Linked DNA regions of Lepisosteus oculatus. The protein of the gene in region 2 interacts with the protein of the main gene of each other region in a biochemical or structural test. Links are inferred from orthologs where the notes say so. Each region holds a gene or a part of one and is shown on either strand. Other genes may lie near its edges.

Region 1 (10,395 bases), on a different chromosome or scaffold from region 2:
AGAGCTGAGTATCTGATTATTTCCAAAAGGTAACCAAATCCAAACGTGAAGCAAAGCCGCAGTCCAGAGGCAGAGCTATGGAAAACTAGAGCCAAGAATCCGATAAATTCCAAAAGGTAACCAAATCCAAACTTGAAGCGAAGCCGTAGTCCAGGAGCAGAACTAGGAAAAACTAGAGCCGAGAAGGACAAAAAAGGTTTCAAAGGAAAATATCCAAAAGGACGTTTACAGGTGAGAAAACCTCAATAGTGAGCGGGGACAGGAGTGGAGTGAGAGGGTATAAATAGGGAAGGGTGTGTGGAATAAAAATTGATTAATTAGTCCATGAGCGTTAGCATGGAGAGGTGCTCGTGAGAATGCAGTGACATTTAATTGTACAGTATCCTCCCCCCTGCCCACGGGCGGCTCCTGACACCGCAGACTGGGTAGCAGAAAGGGAACGATGGAAGTCTTTGATGAGGCTCCTGGCAGGTACTGTATGTGTCTTTCAGGGACCCAGGACCTCTCTTCTGGTCCGTATCCTTCCCAGTCAGCCAAGTATTGGCAGTGTCCCCTGTGCCAGCGAGTGTCCACAATCTTGTTGACTGAAAAGGTAGGTGAGCCATTGTGAGCCGGGGAAAGGGTGGCTGAGGTTGAGGTTTAGAGAGGGGGGAATGGTGATAAGGTTTATGAAGGGAATCGTGGAAGGTTGGATGAATACGGAGGGTTGGGGGAAGAGCGAGACGGTAAGTGACCGGGGTTATCCTGGAAACAACTCAGAAGGGGCCAATAAAGTGGGGGCCCAGCTTGTGAGAGGGTTGACGTAGAGGTATGTTCCAGGTGGACATCCACACAAACTGCCCCTTTCTGAGGCATTCTGCCTCAGGAGTCCACTTACCCTGATTGGGACCTTTGTGGGTTAAGGCCGTAATTGTCTAATAATGCGACAGTAAAAGTTAGCGAATCCTAGGAAATGTTGAATCTCTTTCAAATTCCTGGGAGTGGGCCAGTCCCAGATGGCATTGGTCTTGGTGAAATCCATGATGTAACCCAGGAAATGTATCTTAGAAACTTGAAAAATGCATTTCTCCATCTTGGCATAGAGATTGTTCTGTATAAGGCGATTAAGAACCTCTCAGAAGTGGATAATGTGCTCCTGAAGGTCACTGGAGAAAATTAAGATGTCATCCAAATAGATCAACACGAATCTATGCAATATATCCTGGAAAATGTAATTCATGAAATTTTGAAAAATGGCCAGAGTGTTGACTAAACCGAAGGGCATGACCTGATATTCATAATGGCCATGGGTGGTAATAAAAGCCGATTTCCATTCGTCTCCCTCGCGGATGTGGATGAGATTATATGTGCCGCGAAAAGCTAATTTAGAACAAAATGGTAGCACCCTGGACAGATTCTAAGGCAGCACGAATAGGAGGTAGGGGATAGTGATTCTTTACAGTAATAGCATTGAGACCGCGGTAATCTACACACGGTCTCAAAGATCCGTCCTTCTTCTCAACAAAAAAGAAGTTGGCACAAGCAGGAGAAGAGAAGAGATGGATAAAAGCTGATTTCAGAGTATCCTGGATGTAAGTTGGATAGGTGCTTTGGATTCTTGTAAAGAGAGCGGTAGATGCGCCCCCTGGGTGGTAAGGTTCCCGGGATTAACTCAATGAAACAATATAAGGTTGATGGGGGAGAAGGGAGAGTGCCTTTTGTTTACAAAAAGCCAGCTGTAGATCAGAGTAAGTGGGGGGAATAGAGAAGGAATCTTCCTTGGCGATGAGGGCAACAGAAAGTTTCTGAGGGAGTTGACAACAATGTTTAAGGCAACGAGGTCCCCAGGCTGTGATATCATGGTGAGACCAGGAGATATGAGAATTGTGTGCTTGTAACTAGGGGTAACCAAGAATGAGCGGAAGCAATGGTGATTGGAGGAGGAGAAACCAGATCTCTTCCTTGTGAGTACTGTAGCTCCAATATGAAGAGATTGAGGAATTGTCTTCCATCGAATGAGACCAGGAGACAGGGATGATCCATTAAGAATCTGGAGGCAAATGAGAGCATAGGCCGGCTGCAGGGGAATCTTCAGTGAAGAGGCGAGTCCAAGTTCCCCATGGCACCTAAATCAATGAAAGCCGGAAGAAATTTCTTGTATTTGCCCCAGGAAAGAGTTGTTGGGAGGTAGAGCACGGATGCAGAAGAAAAATTAGAAAGGGTACTGACCATGGTGGATGGAGATGAGGTGATTCCTCAAAATGCGGGGAGAGGTGGTTGTGAGAATTTGGTGACGTTTAATTGTATGCGTTCAGTTTGTGACTATGTTAAACCTACTTTTAGCCTAAACAGTAATTTATGTGTTCATGTCAATGAAGAATGAAACACAGCTGGTAATGAACCAGAAAATATGGACAGAAAAATGGCAGCAACTGCTGCCACAGTCTCCAGAAAGGAGCCAGAGGTGAGAGCATGCAGGGTGGATGATAGCCATCACCGTTGTAGGTGTGATATGGCTTCCTTGAGTGAAAGACTCCAGGTCATACTGTACCTGATTGTGATTCAGTCTTCAAAGAACTGGAAGAAGGCAGTGAGGAGATATGATGCTTTTCTGGTCTTATTCTATGGTTAGCTTGTTGCTTAAGATGATGTTGCCTTTTAGTTGCACTTAAAAATGTTTTTTCCCCATTGCCTTTTAAAGAGGGAAATTTGTGATTTTTTAATATATGTATTTTCTGAAGTTTTTAACAAAATGGCACAACTAAGTGTTGAGATTTTCAGCTCTCAAATATAGTTAGATTTGAAAAATATGATTTGCACAAACAACAACCCCTTTTTTTGCAATTTCTTACAGGAATGCCCAGAATTAAATAGTCATTAAGAATATCAGAGCAAAAACGGTGTCTTCAAAGGAGGACATTCCTTTATTGCATCTGGCACTATAATTCCTTGTATAAAATGATCTTTTCCTTTTGGTTTGTGTTTGAAGTTCAATAAATTGATAAAAGGCAAGAGTTGTAAACCTGAGAATGTAATCTAGAAAACATTTTGCCTAAATTTAAGAATTGTACTGCTTGGTTTAAATCCTGTGTAGTGAAAAATCATGTTAACATATAGTAATGAATCATCATTGTATCAGATATTCAAGTCCATGCTGTTTTTCTAGTGGCTATACTGTACCACCTTAAACCGTTCTCTTAAATCTCTTCTTTCAGCTGCTGAGCAATGTTGGGCCTGTGCATGAGAAGATCCAAAGCAATGCCCCATAGTGTTGACATGGATTACTGTGTTCTAAGAAATGTGTTTTCTTTGGATGATGTGTTAAACTGAAATCCAGTCCTCACTGTTAGCAGTACAGATCCCAAGGTACTCTTTAAAAGAGTAAGATGTTAACCCCAATGTCACTATCGACAGTGGTACTGTAGATCACGGATGCTGGCCTATTTGAAGTTGATCTATTAATAAAACTTTCAGTTGGATCTTGATCTCTTCTCTCAGGCATTGTTATAGTCAGGATGTAGTTGGTGTGCTGCTTTCATATCCACTTGATTGTATGACAGTTGGTTCATGTGCAACTATGTTTAATGACAAAGTGCATTAGGACCCTGGTTGTGATGAAAGGTCCTGTCTACAGTACGTATTAAAATACACTGTATACTGTATATATATATTTATTTCTGGATGAAAACTGTGAATTTGAAATTCCACTTTTATAATTATTTTTTGTGTTACTTTACATTTTATGATATGGTCAAGTTTTTATATTTGTAAGTTTGATTCTCCAAAATTAATTCCATTCTCAGGGCTTTTGTGCTCAAACTACAGAAGCAGGATAACAAAGTGAATGCCAGTAGTAAAATATTTATGAGGTTAACTGAGAAGGAAAGAGGGTGAAGTATCGTAAAGATGTTTTTAAATTGATGGAGGGTTTGGAACAATCTGCATTTTCTTGGTTAGATGCTCCCATGATTAATGAAGCATCATTAATTTAATTTAATTTTTATATATCAAACACTGGCTTAAAAACGTCTGCAGTGGTATATGTGATTAAAATGCCCTCATTTCCAGCATGTGCAATGCAACAGATTGTACTTGTCTCAGCGTCATTGAGCATTATTTTATATTTGTAGAAAGCTACTTGTTTTGAAGTAAAAACAGTGACTACATAATCTTCTGAAAGAAAGTGTTTTGTACAGGACAGGTCCTAATTGAATTAGAAATACAGTATGGTAATACTTCTGTCTTTACAGCTTCACCACAGAAGGGGCTTCCAATTTAAACAGGTTTTCCATTTAGAATTAAATTAAAAATACAGTTAGTAGCCTTTGTGTTTGAAGGCATTGAGGTCACTCTTAATCCTTGGAGGACAGTGTCTAGTTAAAATATAAGTGTAAAGTAGAGGTTCTGGATTTTAATAAATTTGGTACATCTCGGTGTAGGTGCTTGGATACAATTATTTGAATATTTTGTAAGTCGTTGACAGCTGTAAGGTTTTATAAAAGTGTCAAGGGGTATTAAAATGGAGGGAAAACAGAAAAACTAAACCTTTAAGTTTGCCCTGATTGACAGTATGTGGATCCATATACATGTTTACTGTTAGAGGATAACTATTTTTCCCCACTACAATTCTTCTAAATCTGTCAACATGTTTATAAAATCCAACAGATAAAAATGGGTACATGAAGATAAATTAATCTTGACAGACAGCTCAATAAAAGGTGACAACTTTGTTGCAGTGAACAGGGCGATCTTGAGGACATCTGTCAGCCCTGTACAGGGGTGTTACAGTACATGCAGCACCAGTGAAACAATATGTGAACAGACATGCTGGTCCTATAGATTTTAAGAATTCTTTGTTTATTGGTCTCATTCCTTCTGTGACAGCACTTGAAATAATAAAATAAATTATCACAATATTGCATTTATAGTATGTTTTAAGCTCTCAATTCTTAAAAAAATCTATTCTGTGTTAATATATGCCATTCCATCTGTTTGGATTGGCTTTCTGGATTTTTAAAATCTGTTGAAAAGCTTTGAAAGATTATGCTGCTCATCAGACATACATGTATAGAATTAGGCCTACTAATGGGAATGATGACTAATCTTTATGTAGGGCTGTTCAGCTTATGGTTATTGTGCTTTGTCAATATGTAGTAACATTAACGCATTGTCTGATCTGTTTATGTGTGAATTGGTTCTAATACAAACATTCTTTGATATAATGCAATTTGACCTTTTTGTGTTTTAGCAATAAATCATTCAGTGATAAGACCTCTGTTCTTTGTTTGCTTTATGTTACTGTAATTGTTATTGGTTTACTTAGACCGAAACTATATAACAAAGTAGATCATACAGTATCTGATGTGAAAGTGGACCACACCTCCCACTGCACTCCCCACTCTGCGGCGTGTGGGAATGCACAGCTATCACACTGGAAGCTAATCAAGACTGCGCTTTAACCCCCACGCGCCTGCAGACGGGGTTCATCATAGAACTGAATGTGTTCCCCTCACCGGCGACACAAACATTTACTCTGATCCACAAAAGGATTCTCACCTTTACTAGAGAACAGAACATTGGCAGACGGTTACACACCGGCACACCGCACAGAAAACAACAAGCGCTCTGCCGGTGCTCAGGCAGCTTCCTATTACATCCGACACTATCACACTGAGGACAATCAAATGTCTTTATTTCCCACTTTTAAGTGTCAGTTCTGGAGCAGTACCACCGGCTAAATCTAAGTGTTTCCTCAAAAAGGTTTTTTATTGTAAGATCACATTTTTGTACGGGAGTTATACAATTATACAGTAGTTGCACTGTATTGAGGTATTCTGTAACAATAAACTACAAAACTACAAAAAGTACAAAAGCCTAGACAGACCCAAGGAGACATTAGTAAAGGACAAGCATGAAAACCAACTACACCTCTTTGGTAACACTTGGGATTAAGTTGTATAAAATGTTTAAATAGATATTCTATTCATAAGCATGTCAGATGATTGTCGGTTCCCTAGAATGTGAACAACGTACTCATAGATACACTGTATTGATTATGCTACCCTGAACTCTGACCATAGCACTAATCCTAACCCTGACACTAGTCTTAATTGAAACTCATCTCCACTGAATATCTATTGATTTTTGTTAACGTTCTATAGCACCCTGAGTTTTAAGATTTGAATGTGCATTAAATCTTTATTCATCCATTTTAGCCTAAAGCATGACCATCTATGGTCCCTTAAAAGAGTTAAAATAGCTCTTTTAACAGCTTGGATTTATTTGGGTGGGAGGTACTGCCCAGCTCACATACTGTAGCTGTGCTCATTTGCTCTGCTCTCAAGTTAATATTCAGAGCTTTTTGTATAAAAGAGCATACAAAGAAAGAAAAAAAAGCCCATGTACATTTTTAAGTGGATGGTTAAAGGACATACAAATGATTCAATCTGTATTTTGACTTTAATGTTTTTGTTACTAAGTGTTTTCAAGCTCAACACTTAAAATTCAGCATTGTTTCAAAGTTTTCATGAAATGGCTGTGTGTAACACAATGTTTCCTATTTAGCAAGAAAACAGGAAAAGGTCTGACAGGAATACACCATTTTGTTGGCACAGCATCAAGAGTGTAATAAATAATGGAGCTACAGGATGAGGTAGTTAAATTGTTGTTTCTAGATCTATCTTGTATAGAGTACTATTCCTTTCCTTAAAATTGCTTAAATTTATCACTTGCCTTCTTTAACATTATTTATTGAATATTATACTCCATAATGGGCTCTGTTTTTGTGATCCCTTATAAAATGTCTACCTTAAATTTAAAAGATTTTAATTGCCATGAACTCTAAAGAAAGAGGATAGACACCTGTTTGTATGCTATCATTTTCATACAGTACATCCATGTTATGAAGAGAGCTAACCAAATCCACAGACCAATCTCTACAGTTGAATTTCACAATCATTTTATAGTTATTTAAGATATTTCATTGCTGTTTGAAGAGCAAGTCTGTTGAAAGTCAATTAAAATGAAAAATTAGTCCGATGAGTTCAAATCTCATTAATCGTGAATGAATCAGACAAAGGGCACATCAAGTAGCTCTCCTGATGTAGCTACTCATCTTTGACAAGCTGAACAGGATTGGTAAACTTAACTTTCACTTCTAAAAATGTAAACTGAAAAGATATTTTTAGTGAAGGCACATTAACTGAAAGGTTTTTGGTATGTATGTATTATTTTTATATACATTAAAGTTACTGTATATTTTCTTTACATTCATACCATGATTATTTAGTGAGTACTGTAAACTTTGGCAATAGAAGTGTTATATGCAGGTGTACTGTAAATTAAAAGAAATATGCAACCATTTAATTTATTTTAATTCCCTGGACATTGTTTTCCTTTTCTTATAAACTAATATTAAATACAGTGACCAACTTAATTTAAATTGTAATTATTTATTTAAAAGTTGTTTCTGTATTTAATCTTAGTATATTGTTACAGTATATATTTGCAGCTCTGTAAACTACACAATAATATAGCTTTTGGTCTGCTCCACCTGGAATTAATGTCTGCAGATTTTCTAAGATGAAAAAAGCTGGCTGTTTACATCAATAGAATATGCTCAAAGATTCACGCTGTACTGCACTTGTATATGATATATAGATTATATTTTGTTTTGCTGCAGGGCGTGACTATTCAGAAAAAAATATCTAACACTTTTCCTTATTGTTATTAATATGCAGTTCATGAAATACATTGCTTGTAAATCAGGTTCAGCTTTACAGTGGCTGGGATGAATAAACAGCATTTGCAGTAGTCAGCCTTTATACTTGTTTAATCCATCAAAACATTTGATATTTTATTCTCAATACTTGCTGTTTCTTATTAATAACCTTATTTATATTAATCTACTGTAAGTTTTAGTTTTTTCTTTTGTGTGTGATCTGCATTTAAAATGCTTATACATATTACACACCCTATGGAACACAGACAATTTTGAGAAAGGAAGTCTATGAAAAGGCTTTTACTTTTAACCCATATTCTTTTATCACCTACTTAACTTCATCAAGGTCCCTGTGTGATCTTGAAAGCCTGGAAAATATGAAACTTTGCAGCCCCAGAAAAGTTGTCCTAGAAAATGTAATGGAAAATAAATAACTTATTTTTAATTTACAGACCTACAGAAGTGTTGAGCAGACAATTATGTACTTAAACACTCGGGAAACATAGTTAATATTTTATTTTTTGTATATTGTGGTTATTTGAAAAGTGAAAAATTCATTCGGATCAAAATAAGCTCAATTATTGTACAAAAATGCTGATTTCACTTAGAAATGTACGGACAATTATTCTAGTGAAATTGAATCCAGAGAACCCTGCTTATTTTTGATTGTTGCCGAGATAGAAAAAGCCATTAAGACAGTCACCAGCCCTGATCAATGTCCGTTTTATTTCACCTGGTCCTGCTCTGTATTATAAGTAAGTATTACATCATACTGTATGTATTATTAAGTACCCAGCTGATGGTACTTCCCTTCGGGAGTGTCTTCCTTTGTACCTCATGTAAATCATTAGACACTGTCAGCTGCACTTTTGCTATTTGTAGCCATCCTGGAAGAATACCAGTGAATTTAGTGTAATTTCATATCTAAGTGTCTTTAAGACCAGACAAAGTGTCTAGGTTAGGATGTGAATGAACAGGTATTCAATTCAGTTGTTTTCCCTGATGGGGCTGGAACAAGGTGTTGTTTAGTAGGACTGGGCTACTGTTCAAACAATCAGACACATGGCAGGTTGTAGGTTTTGTGGTTGGAGATGGAGGGAAAGTCTAATATGGGAGATGAGCAAGGATATTTTTTTTGCTGAATAATGTTTCCTCTCTGCAAGTAGCGAGAATATCTTGAAGTGGCAAGAGTATGTGGTAAGAGCAAAAAGAGCCAATAAATGTATTCTGCCAGAGTTTGACATATTTGTAGTCAGTTCCATCCCCTTCATTCAGCAGACTCAATTTTACTGTGGTTTTGAGCTGAATGTTTTGCAGGTTCTACCAGTTTTCAATTGGATTGAGATGTACTATAGGGCATTTTTCTACTTGGAGAAGTTGAGAGAAATCTGTCTCATGGTTCTCATGTCAATAACAATAACAGGTCAGTAATATCACCCTGCAACAGGTTAGCAGCCATATCACCCTGCAACTCACAACTGGCAACCCACTGAAGCTAAGCAGGCGTGAGCCTGGTCAGTACCTGGATGGGAGACCTCCTGGGAAAAACTAAGGTTGCTGCTGGAAGAGGTGTTAGTGGGGCCAGCAGGGGGCGCTCACCCTGCGGTCCATGTGGGTCCTAATGCCCCAGTATAGTGACGGGGACACTATACTGTAAACAGGCGCCGTCCTTCGGATGAGACGTAAAACCGAGGTCCTGACTCTCTGTGGTCATTAAAAATCCCAGGGCGCTTCTCGAAAAGATGTCCTGGCCAAATTTCCCCCCCCTGGCCTTTACCCCATCATGGCCTCCTAATAATCCCCCTCTATGAATTGGCTTCATTACTCTGCTCTCCTCCCCACTGATAGCTGGTGTGTGGTGAGCGTTCTGGCGCACTATGGCTGCCGTCGCATCATCCAGGTGGATGCTGCACATTGGTGGTGGTGGAGGGGAGTCCCCATTACCTGTAAAGCGCTTTGAGTGGAGTGTCCAGAAAAGCGCTATATAAGTGTAAGCAATTATTATTATTATTATTATTAGTAACACAAAAGACCACTCAGAGGGCTTGCTCATTTGACTGAGGTAAATATTTTGGCTATTAATTCTTCTATGCACTCCTATTTCATTTTTGCGCTCATAATCACAATATAGACATTGTCCATGGCATGAAAATACGGTAGTGTGTAACGTCCCAGTGTGTGTTCTGTGTGTTTTTTCTGTTATGTCCACACTGCTGACCCTTGATTGTTCTCCCTTCCCCATTGGCCAAACATCACACCACTGTTTCAATATGATGTCATCACCAATCAGCCCTCAGCCAATCAGAACTCATTTTATTCTCTATTTAACATGGAGGCTTTCAGGCAGAAAAGGCCTTTCGTTTGACTTTGGTCCCGTTTGGTTTTGGTTATCGCTTTGCTTCGCTTCTGGTTATTGCTTTGGCTTCGTTTGTTGGTTTGTTTTGCTTTGTGTGTGTGTGTGTATTTTCGTATATCTTCGGCTTTGTTGTTTTGCTGGTTTTATGTTAGTTTCTTTGCACTTTCGTTTGTTTGTGTGTTCATCCTTGTTTTGTCATTACCTTGCCCCAGTGTTACAGTACATGTTCAACTTTTGTGTTCTTTTGTACCCTGCTCCTATTGATTATTTGTATTCCTGGTTCACTTGTGTTTTTGTGTGAACTTTTGTATATAAGGTTAGTTTAGGTTGTTGGGTACAC
Region 2 (10,498 bases):
TCCAGCCACAGGTGCAGAGCTATCGCTCCGCCCCATTTAATCATGTTAAAATAAAGCAGTTCATCTTTTCCTCTGCATCTCCACACGTATCATTTTGGACTACATATTTCGGGTTGCAAATCAGAGTGGTTCAGAAAATTATTGTGTCATTCTTTTCTTATCCCAGCAAGCAACAGGCGCAAGGAGGGGAACACCATGCCTTGACGGGACAGACACGCTCACGCCAGGGCCAGTTTTCCCAGAAGCCAATTAACCTACCAGCACGCCTTTGGACCGAGGCAGGAAACCCGTGTACGCATGGCGAGAAGATACAAAGTCCACACAGGGAGCAACCCAGGGCCAGAATTGAACCTATGGTCCCAGGGCTGAACCACTGAACCACCATGCTGCCTTAATTAGTGTCCAACATTCCCAAACTTCGGTGCGATTTAATGTTTATATCTGGGGCGGTTGGTGAGGGCTCTCTTTTTTAAAAAGAGAAACATCCCCTGTGCCAATAATGGCAAAATAGCCCAGGTATGGAAAGTTCGTATTCTGTTATTCGGAATTTCCCACCACAGTACGTCAACGCCGATGCCAGTGGTCAACAAGCCAGGCTTGCCTGTGTTCCTTGTCACCACTGGCAGGTGGCTTGTCACCAGCACCTGGGCCTGCTGCCTGAGCAGCCTCGGCCGACAGCACGAACCCCCCAGCCGCCCGAGGCTCTTTCTCACCTGGCGCAGGTGGGAAATGAAGAATGTGCAGACATGTGCAGGTCTGAAACCAGCCAAGCCAATACGTGACTGATTTTAAATTCCACTAGAGGGAATAAACCACGACTCAGTAGCTGGTTTGTAGTGCAGATCCCAGTGTTATAACTGGAGGGTTTGGAATTCAAATCCCAGGTAGGATACTGCTTTTAGACTCCTGAACAAGGTTCAGCTCTGATTGCTCCAGTAAAATGCCCAGCTGTACCCAAATGTAAATGGCTTCAGCCAGATAAATTAATAATGCATGCACAGTATGTTTCATGTACTGTACTCCCACAGCTACAGCTCCAAATGAGTAAAACCGACAGCATGACTGTGTCCATCACAATAGAAACTAATTAGAATCACCAGGCTTAATAGAGCCATTACCATGAGCGGAGTGCCAAACAGTTTTTTAAAAGGTCGCTTGGCAACCCAACTCTCATTAAAGGGCTTAAAAGAACTCGCTTTCAAACACGGCAGCTGAAACTTCACAATATTTTTCAATACGTTCAACTGTCTTAAACGTATTACAAACCTCGTTTAGACTTTAACGTTCAAGATGTAAAGATGACGAATCGGAAAGCACAATTTACCACACAAAGCACTAGGTAATCAGGTGGCGTGGAATCGTCATGCTAAAGACGAATAAACGCTGCTCCTGTCCATTTCTGCACCTATGTCCTTAATATAACGTTACTTTCCCACTACAAGTAAAAATGCAACATTCAGCAGCAATAGAGAAACGGAAAGAATTCGGACAAACCAAACCCAACATATTCAAATCCAAACAGAAGATAACCTAGATGTTTGGATGCAACCTGATAACAGACGTTCACGTCATAACCTTAAAATAAGACAGGCGTCATAATATGAAAATGCGTCTTTGAAAGTTGTCAGCTGATACAGGCGGCAATTCGAACACGTTTTTCAACCGGCGGAGAAAAGCAAGAGACGTTTTGATACGCCCAGTGTCTGAACTACAGCAGCTGTATCGTCGTGACTAAAGCTCACAGACGCACCCTCGTCGCTATACAATTGTTGCGTTTCAAGGGGTCGCGTCTTGGCTATACATTTAAGAAACTACTATGGGGCAAGTCTTTATATTAATATAATTATCTCACGGCTTTTGAGCACGCTTCTCCAGATCTTGCCCCCCCCAAAAAAAGAGCAGAAAGCCTAATTATCACAGAGAAGATGATAACTGAGCTGATTAAAACATGATTTAGCAGCTCCTGGACAAGATACCATCTTGTGGTGACAAGATGATCATGAAATAGAAATAGTCTAGCAGCCTGAGGTTAGAAATACGGCAACGCATCCCCTTAACCTGACTGGGAGTAGCTGTGTTTACGCCTGCGTGCAACCTCTTTATGAATCCGTTTAGCAGCAGTACACGGGAATAGAAAGATAGCATACAAGTGATAAGAAAACGTAGTGGAGGTCTGTCTTTATCCCTCATTTTAGCAATTGACCACTTACCACCAGCTGCTTACTAGATATCTAGGTACATTTTTAAACAGTCGCTCCCTCTATCAGACCCAGGTGAAACATTTAAAGCCATTTCACATTTAAACCAGCATCCCAGAAAGCTGTCTTGTGTAATGTAAATATGTCGCAGTGACCGTTTGTCTGCCTGTCACCTATACTCCACACTGTCTCTACCAAATCCCTATGATCACCTTCAATTTCAGGCGTGTTAGTTTTAATCTTCCTTTTTTTCCCCTAAGTTTAGGACAGAAAATGAAGATGGAGTGAAAGGGTAGGCTGTAATTTGGAAGATAACGTACTGTAATTGCTACAACCGAGAAAAAAAAAACACAAAGATGCTAGGGTTCACAAACTTGTTTTTCTTTTGCTTGAAAGCGGTTTTTAGCCAGGGCCCAAGAAGCTCGGGGTTAGGTGAGCCTCGGGCGTCTGTTGACGTGCGCAGTGAAGTACATTTGAAAAGTTATAATCGATGGGGGTTTTTTAAACATAGGTCAGCGAATCGCTCGGGTGTATAAGAAACTCCTAAATAAATACATTTCCCAACCTATGACTGCGGGTCTGTGCATTGACTACAAGGCGATGACAGTACACTTTGGAAGAAAATGACCGGAACCCTAAAGATACTGACCAAGTTAGTAGAATAAGCCGTTACCGATGTGGGCGTTAATTGAATGACTCACTCGAACGCTGCTCATCAGCCAGCAGTCGTGAGAGACCATTTTTTTTTAAAGATACCTCAGCAATAACGGCATCTATGCGGATCAAGGGCCCGCACACATGCAGTGATGTCAAAGTGCGGTGGGCTATCTGAAAGGCGGTGCTCTTTCCAGGTGTAATTACGGCAACACGGGGAGCCAGTGCCGGTCTACCGCACCTCCTCCGCCTGTTTGCGCAGCGCCTTCTCCCTCTCGTACTGGGTGAGCAGCTGCTCGTTGTCCTCCTTCAGCAGCTCCAGCTCCACTTCGTGCTCCTGGTTCTCGGTCAGCACGGAGTCCAGGTTCTCCAGCACGTTGACCACCAGCGGCATCAGCTCCTTGACCACCTCCTCGTCGTAGCTGCGGATGAGGCGCTCGAACTCGCGGTAGATGCTGTTGGCCAGGCCGGAGACCCGGTCCGACATGACCGACACCGAGCCGTAGTCATCCTGGTAGACCACCTCGTCGAGCGAGATCTCCATCATCTTGGCAAGAGGCTCCGATAACACGGGCGGACGCCCCCCCTACTCCACCACCACGACCACCACCAGCGCAGTTCCGGGGGAGAAAAAAACAAAACCCTCAAATATAGAGGAATTTAATGTGATATACCGGTGTTTTTTTTTTAATTCAAGCCCCAAAATGTCATTCGCCCGTCTAAATATATTTCGCCTTTTTTCGTTCCAGTCTTTATCGGGCTGGGAGCGACGCAGACGCGTTCGCTTTCAGTGGCTCAGGTGATGCTCTGCAGGTCCCGAAATCCGCTTTTTTTTTTTCAGCCCCTGAATTCCGAGACCAGGGCGACGCGCATCGTTTCCGCCGGCTAAAACCCGATATTTCTGTCGCTGTAGTTGAACGCATGCAGGGGCCAGGACTCTCCCTGTTCCCCGTGTCGCCCGGCGCGGCGGCCTGGATGGGGGCTTCTAGATGGTTCCCGGTCGCGTCTTGCTCTCGGCGAAGCCCGCATCCCTTTCCAGGCGAAAGCGGTGCAGTTTGTTTCTGCCCATTTTGTTGTTGTTTTTTTCCCGGACAGGAAAAACAAGGTTAAAACGGAACGCAAAAAAAAAACGAGGCTTCTAATTAAAATAATAAATAAACGTGCCTCACAATGCACCTGCCGGTCAGCAACCACGCAGTCCAGTCATCGCTGCGAGCACTGATGACACGCATGAAATCAGCTGAAAGCCGCCGTTCCCTGCGTGCTCCCTCCCCTGCCTCCCTCTTTCCCCTTTAAATCATATTTTGGTCCAGTCCGGCTCCAGTCCGCTTCCCCGGGTTGGACCGGGTTAGGCGATGCCGTTTTCTGCGGCGCTGTCGGGATCCTCCCAGGCTGAGCGAGGCGGCTGACGTCACGCCGTCTGCAGCGAGCAGGCTCCGGCCGAGCCGGGATGTCTCGTCCTCGCCGCGCAGTCACGGCCGGCGTGAGAGCGCGTTTTCCCCAGCCCGCAGCCCCCCAGCCGGCCAGAGCGGTCACTGTTGTCTGCGGTGCTCACGGTCGCTGCGCGGACCCATCCCCTGGTAGCAAGAGGGCTCGGTGGGCTTCGCCAACGTGCTGCGTCACACAGCAAAAGCAGTGACCAGTGAAGAGAGGGAATGGAATCGATTAGCAGCTCATTTTTATTTCTGCTTTAACAACAACAACAACAACAACGCAATGTTCTTTATTTTCGCCCTGGCAAAGATACAGTCCACTCCATCTATCCTATATATGTCTTCTGAGATGAGGAGCCCCAGAGACGAATTCATGCCTAAACGTGCACATCACGAACTGCTCGGACTGCTATCTCTAACCGACAACAGAAACAGCAAATAACGTCTCAAACAGTGAACACAAAATCTGCGTTGCTTTAGCGTTCTGAGGGACATGTAATACACCTATGATGTTCCCTTCTCGTCGAAAGATGCTATACAATATACAAAATTAAAGTAGATAAAATGGCAGTGGTGCCCACTACACTTTCCCTTCAGTACAATTCCCTGCCAATTCACGGCTCATGACACGCCCTGTATTTTCACCTCTTGGTAAATGTGCAACAACGTAAAACCTCGTCTCTCGACCAACGTTTTTTTCCTGCAATATTGAACAAAAAACGGTCCTGTTCCCTCCAGGTTATAATTAAAATATAATTAAAATAATACGGGACAGTGCTGTTAAAACCCGGCTATCTCATGGAACATTTATGAAGACCACGCCTGTATTGTCTAAAACACATCAAGTACTGGACACGCCATAGCAAAAGAGAGCACTTGTTAGCGTTCATCACGTTTGAATGTTTCTGAAATGAAAGGGTTAAAACATTAAAAAAACGATTTTAATTTCCACTGCTGTTCGTGAACATATTCATATATATAACGGTGACAAAATCGTTTTTGCTTCAAAAATAGTGAAACGGGTTCAAGGTAGTATAATCCACATTCACATTTGAACTTCAGTTTATTGAATTTAAGAGTTCGCCTCAAATATGGTCAAAGTGAGCTCGGCTGCAGCACCTTTGCCACAAGATCTGAATTTCTCGTCTCTGTAGAACAGGGAGCACGACGCAGATCGCAGCCTCAAGTCAGCTGCAGTGCTTATCTAAACTGCAGGAAAAAATCCATCTTGTTGTAGATGTTGGTCAGCATCAAATACAATTCGGGAATCACAGAAGAGCGGTTTGTATGTCGCGCTCTTTAAATAAACGAGAGCTAACCTTCTCTATATTCTCTATAACCTTCTTAATATTCTTTATTTACAGGTTGGTAACGGTTAATTTGCTCTACACAACGTTTAATTCTGGTAAAATCTTCAGAGTTTATCACACTATCATATTCAGTGATGTTCGAGTTTCGTAATATTATCTAGGAATGTGGATACATTTCTTCTTATGCAGCGGCACAACTGGTAATGTTCATTTTCATTTACATTTTCATTTACGTGGGTAAGCTTTGTTTCAGTTACAAGTAATATTGTTAATGTTTTTATGTTCTCTGGGACCCGAAATAAAGGCAGTGCCCAAAACACTGATTATCCCTCAGGAAGGGAACCTGAGCTATAGGGTCGTGAAGAGGTGGGGGGTAGCTCTGTTGTTTCGTAGCTCTTGGCTCCCGTATTTGTTGGCTTCCTTCACCTGTTTTGAATGAAAGTTTCTGTGGAATGAGTGGTTGGTTGATCTACCGCTCATAAAGTTGCATCAGAAATACAGTATGAAGAACAGCGCCCTGCCGAAATAAGTGGAATTACATCATGTAACTGGAAGAAAGAAACAGAGAGGCACGACTTGTAATGACTTCGCGAAAGCAGAGCTAATGCATTTTTTAGAGACATCCTGTAGGCTTTTACAGGAAGAAAGGCAGGCTTCAAAAATCACGTGAAACCTATCAGGCGAGTGTGTTTAGTTATGTTAGTGGGGGTCTGTATCTCCGGGCACACCGATGAGATCGTGAGGATTGTGCAGCTAGCCAAAATGCAACCCTCTGTCTTTAAAGTGATGTGCACGGCGTGACGTCAGGCACATGAGCAGGTGCGATCTGAACTGGGAGGCAGAGGGGAGAATGAGCAGCTGATCAGTTACACAGGTACAGCTTGGACCTGCAGTTGTTTATCATGGGCAAGCCGGCGGAAAAAGGTCAGTAAAGTTGGTCGCGTTTTTTAAACATACGGGTCAAGAGCACCGGGTGATTTAGGGTAATCGGAAACGCTGGTAGCAATCCCCAGATGTGGTTGCATCTGGGAATTGCTAATGTTTCTTTTCCCGGATGATTTAAAAATAATGGTGAAAGTCAAAGTCTACTAGCTTCGCGTCTGTAAAGTCTCTTTTTCATGCTAACAGGAATATTTTTCCTCTCGATTCCTAACGCCTGAGCTACAGTGAATGTTTGCCCCTGCTGGGTCTACCCCCATCGCTACAAAGATTTCCGAAGCATTTTAGAAACACTTTGCTTTTTTAAAAATTAAAATATCTGTTGTGTTCTTCAGCGCAATTCCAAATCTCCAACTGTATCCCCAGCTTCAGAAATAGAAATTGTCTCTAAACTGGAAACACGTTACAAATTCGCTCCCTTTACTTTTTGCACAGCGCAGATGTTGTTTTGTATGTCCCTTAGCGATGCGTGGGACTTCTTTGACGAAAGCGGAGATGCTGGGTTTTATCTTTGTTACATTTTGGTTTTTTTACTCTCGTTTGTAAGCGCTCTGTTCTTTTTAGAAACACTCTATAGCGTTGGGAGGTGGGTGTCATGTGGAATTAAGCAGCTGCCTGAGTTCAGACCTAGTTTACAAAAGTAAATGGAATGGATTCTTTTCAGGACAGTACTCACCAGAGGGCGCTACGCCTTCTGAATGTGATCAGGGGGACACTGATGGGGTATCCCCGTGGTGTTTAATCCAGGTGAGCCCCTGGCCGCTGGAGGTATCCCTTTAATTGATCTGTTTGTTCACAAACATCAGGTAAAGAAGACACTTTCTTACCTGTGGTGGTTTCAAATACTCTGCTTCATGCAGATTGTACAAAATTCTATACAGCCACCTCTTAATTTTCTTCTTTTATTTTGCCTGGGCTGCTCTTGAGAGTGAGTGGCAGGCAACTGCCCCTTGCTATTGTAGAGCTACTATCCATTACAATTCGCATTTGGCCTGAGGGCTGAAAGCAAATTTAGGGGGAAAAAAGATGCATCAGCTTGCAAACTGAAACAAATTAGCCTTCCCCATGTAAATTACAGCAAAAGGCAGATGTTCAGTTTTCACAGGTGTTGCTCAGGAACCCTATTTGTATATTTGCTAAATGTCACTGCTACATGGTGCAGTGTGCAGTATTTACAGCAATGTGTTCGCTGTCAGTAATAGTGCGATACTGATACGTCTTTCACTTTTTCTTGAGGTTCTGACCATTCTTAACTTTTAATTAAGAGCAGCAATAAAAACGGGGAACGCAAAAAAAAAAGGTTTGTGGCCTTACGGCCTTAATTGCTACCTGGAGTTGTGACGCCACATTTCTTTTTGCAGCATTTTACAGATTCCTGGTGCTGTTCTTCAACTGCCTGCTGACGTTCGGCTCCTACTTCTGCTTCGACATCCCCAGTGTCTTGCAGGACCAGTTCCAGGGGGTGAGTGAGTGAGCAGTAGGCCAGAGACTGACCGACCCTGGGCTCTGGTGCGATCGCCTAGCCTTCCGACGTCACCGAGCAAATGAGGTTCTCCCATCTGAATTTAAACGCTTTTTTTCCCCCCGGTCCTGTGCGATTTAGAGAAGGCGGCTGCTGGCCCTTCGTTTGCACCCTACGTGGACAGAGATGGTCACCGAAGCTGCTGTGGTCATGCGTGTCACGTGTGTGACATGCTCTTGTCCTCCAGCGAGACTATGGCAATGTTGCCACCTTGTCAGCTGGTTTGACTAAGGTCTGACTCAGGTCATTACCAGTCCTGTGGAACTGTTTGTAAGAGTAAGGGCATTAACCCTGGTGTGCTGACTAATCCCCACTTCTGATTTGCACAATCTGTCCTACCTAGATGGATGGATGGATGTTTGCCTGTTATGCCTTCCAGCAAATCCTGTTGCTGTTACTGTAACATTTGTTTTTTATGGGACAGGGTTGTTAGCCTTGTGCCCAACCTCCAACATGGAGGACCGGGCGCCCGACGTGAGACACGAACCCACTACCCCGAGATTATGAGTCTGATGCTCTGCCAGCTAGCCGGGGCTGTCCTACCTAGACTTCTCTCTGAATTCGATTCCTGAAGTAATTTTTCACTTCTTTCCTTGTCCTGATGTGCAGGGGGGTGGGGTTGGCACACAATGACTGTCACAGGTCGCTGACAAGTGGGGCTGCACTTCAGTGACTGATGAAGGGGGTAGGCTCTTACACGTAAAGCACTTTGGGCTCTTTTGGGATAAAAGAGCAAGAAATGCAAGAATTGTTACTGTTGGGAAATAACCTGGTGCTCCGGGATTGTCTGAAGCAGATCATGTAGGACTTGTTGAATTAAGTGTCTTGACAGTTTGAGTCCTTGCTTCATTCTGTGTACGGAGGACAGGCAGCTCAAGGGTAGCTCCAGGTGGCTTGTCACTACAGATGTCTTCAAACGTGCTGGCTGATCAGCTAGGGACATGCCTTGGACTTGAAATTTCACCAGCTGTTTCCTCTGCTCAGAACCTGACGTGTCCTAATGCAATGGTAGCGAACGGCTCAGCTCCTGATGGGACCGGAGAGTGTGTGGAGGGGTTGGGGATGACTCCCCAGGAATACAACCTTCTCTACGCCATCTACGCCTGGACGTGAGTCTCGCACCCCTGCGGTCATGCTGACTCGCACCCATCAAGATGGCACATAGCAGAACACTGTGTTAGTTTGTCTTTTTAAGCTACTAGAGTCCAATGAACCATAGCTCTCTCCCTCTGCAGTATTCTGCTATTTTGTTTAATAACTTGGTAATATGATATATTGCAAAGCACCATCTTTTTAGCTAAAGCATTTTTATTAAAAAAAAAAGATTTCGAAAACGTCTTTCAGTTAACCTAATGTGTCATACAATTCCATTGAAGGGTTTCTAAAATTAAACTGCCTTATGTCAGTGAAGCACTTTTTATGGTGAAAGGAGAAGTATAAACTCGTAGATATAGAATTAGTTTTATTTCTTTTGCATAGTTTCATTTAAAGTCCTTTAAAGTCCTTTAAAATATGGGATCTGGGTAACATTCATATTTTGTCCTTGCTCCTTTCCCTTACATAATAACAGAGATGCCGAAATCTAGAGTAATTTGAACAGAATATTCTTTAGGCTTTGAAATTGGGAGCTGAAAATGATCGGTTTATCACAGTTGTTGGAAATACTCTTTCCTGGGGGCTGTGTAACTAGGCTGTGTAACACTTTTAAAGGCTGGGAGGCATTACAGAAATGTTAATAAAGCCTGGCTTTTTGCTAAAAGCACTTCCTCTGCTGTTTTCACTGTTTCTGCAGACACTGTTGTAATGGCACCTCCCTTGTTTGTCTTTCACAGCAATGCAGTGGTGGTGATCCTGGCTGGCTTCCTCATCGACAAGCTGGGAAACCGCTGTGAGTGATGCACTGAAGCTCTGCATGCGTACTGCTCTTATTAAGCAAAAGGGTCCCAGCACACACAGAACAGACTGTAGAGCAGGGGTCCCCAGACTCTGTGCTGTGGTTTGCTGTTATTTCTCTATACTTTCACACCTTTCCATAGCTTTTGTGAAGGGTTAACATCTACTCATAAACCTCAGTTAAATGGTTCCAAAAACCTTCTGGCTTGTCTTTGCACGTCAGAGCAAATTATGAGCAGGGCCAGATTTTGGTGTTTGTAGGCCCCAGGCACTTTCACTCAGAGATCTGCAAAAAGAGGGGTAGACGCCAGTTGAATTATGTCATTTTGTGTTGTAGGTCACTGGGTTCTTTGTGTTCACTGGATTTGGAAAGAGTCCGCACCTTCAGTGGGGGTTCGTCTTTTATCATAAGTGCTCCAGTGGGATGGGTGGGGGGAGATGGGTTGACCCACAAATAATTGACTCGTTCAACAACCTATCCATCCTTCAAGGATGACCGCTACCTCCAGTGTGACCTTTAGAATGTTTATTTACTCAGGTGGCTTAAAT

What was found. The genes of interacting proteins can lie anywhere in the genome.
Region 1: the proteins of mapk8ip3 (region 2) and mapk10 form a complex in vitro, tested with the Homo sapiens proteins (3 studies listed by BioGRID, with this or other methods). The link is inferred for Lepisosteus oculatus from reciprocal best matches to the Homo sapiens genes MAPK8IP3 and MAPK10.

The regions. Positions count from the first base shown.
Region 1 is NC_090698.1:19,458,761-19,469,155, forward strand, and holds the start of mapk10 (mitogen-activated protein kinase 10), read left to right. Parts: upstream 1-6,612; 5' UTR 6,613-6,613; coding exon 6,614-6,631; intron 6,632-10,395. UniProt on the Homo sapiens protein: Serine/threonine-protein kinase involved in various processes such as neuronal proliferation, differentiation, migration and programmed cell death.
Region 2 is NC_090714.1:4,140,791-4,151,288, forward strand, and holds the start of mapk8ip3 (C-Jun-amino-terminal kinase-interacting protein 3), read right to left. Parts: upstream 4,431-10,498; 5' UTR 3,400-4,430; coding exon 3,094-3,399; intron 1-3,093. Other genes in the region: mfsd1l (lysosomal dipeptide transporter MFSD1), read left to right, coding at 6,498-6,519, 7,896-7,996, 9,041-9,165, 9,889-9,944.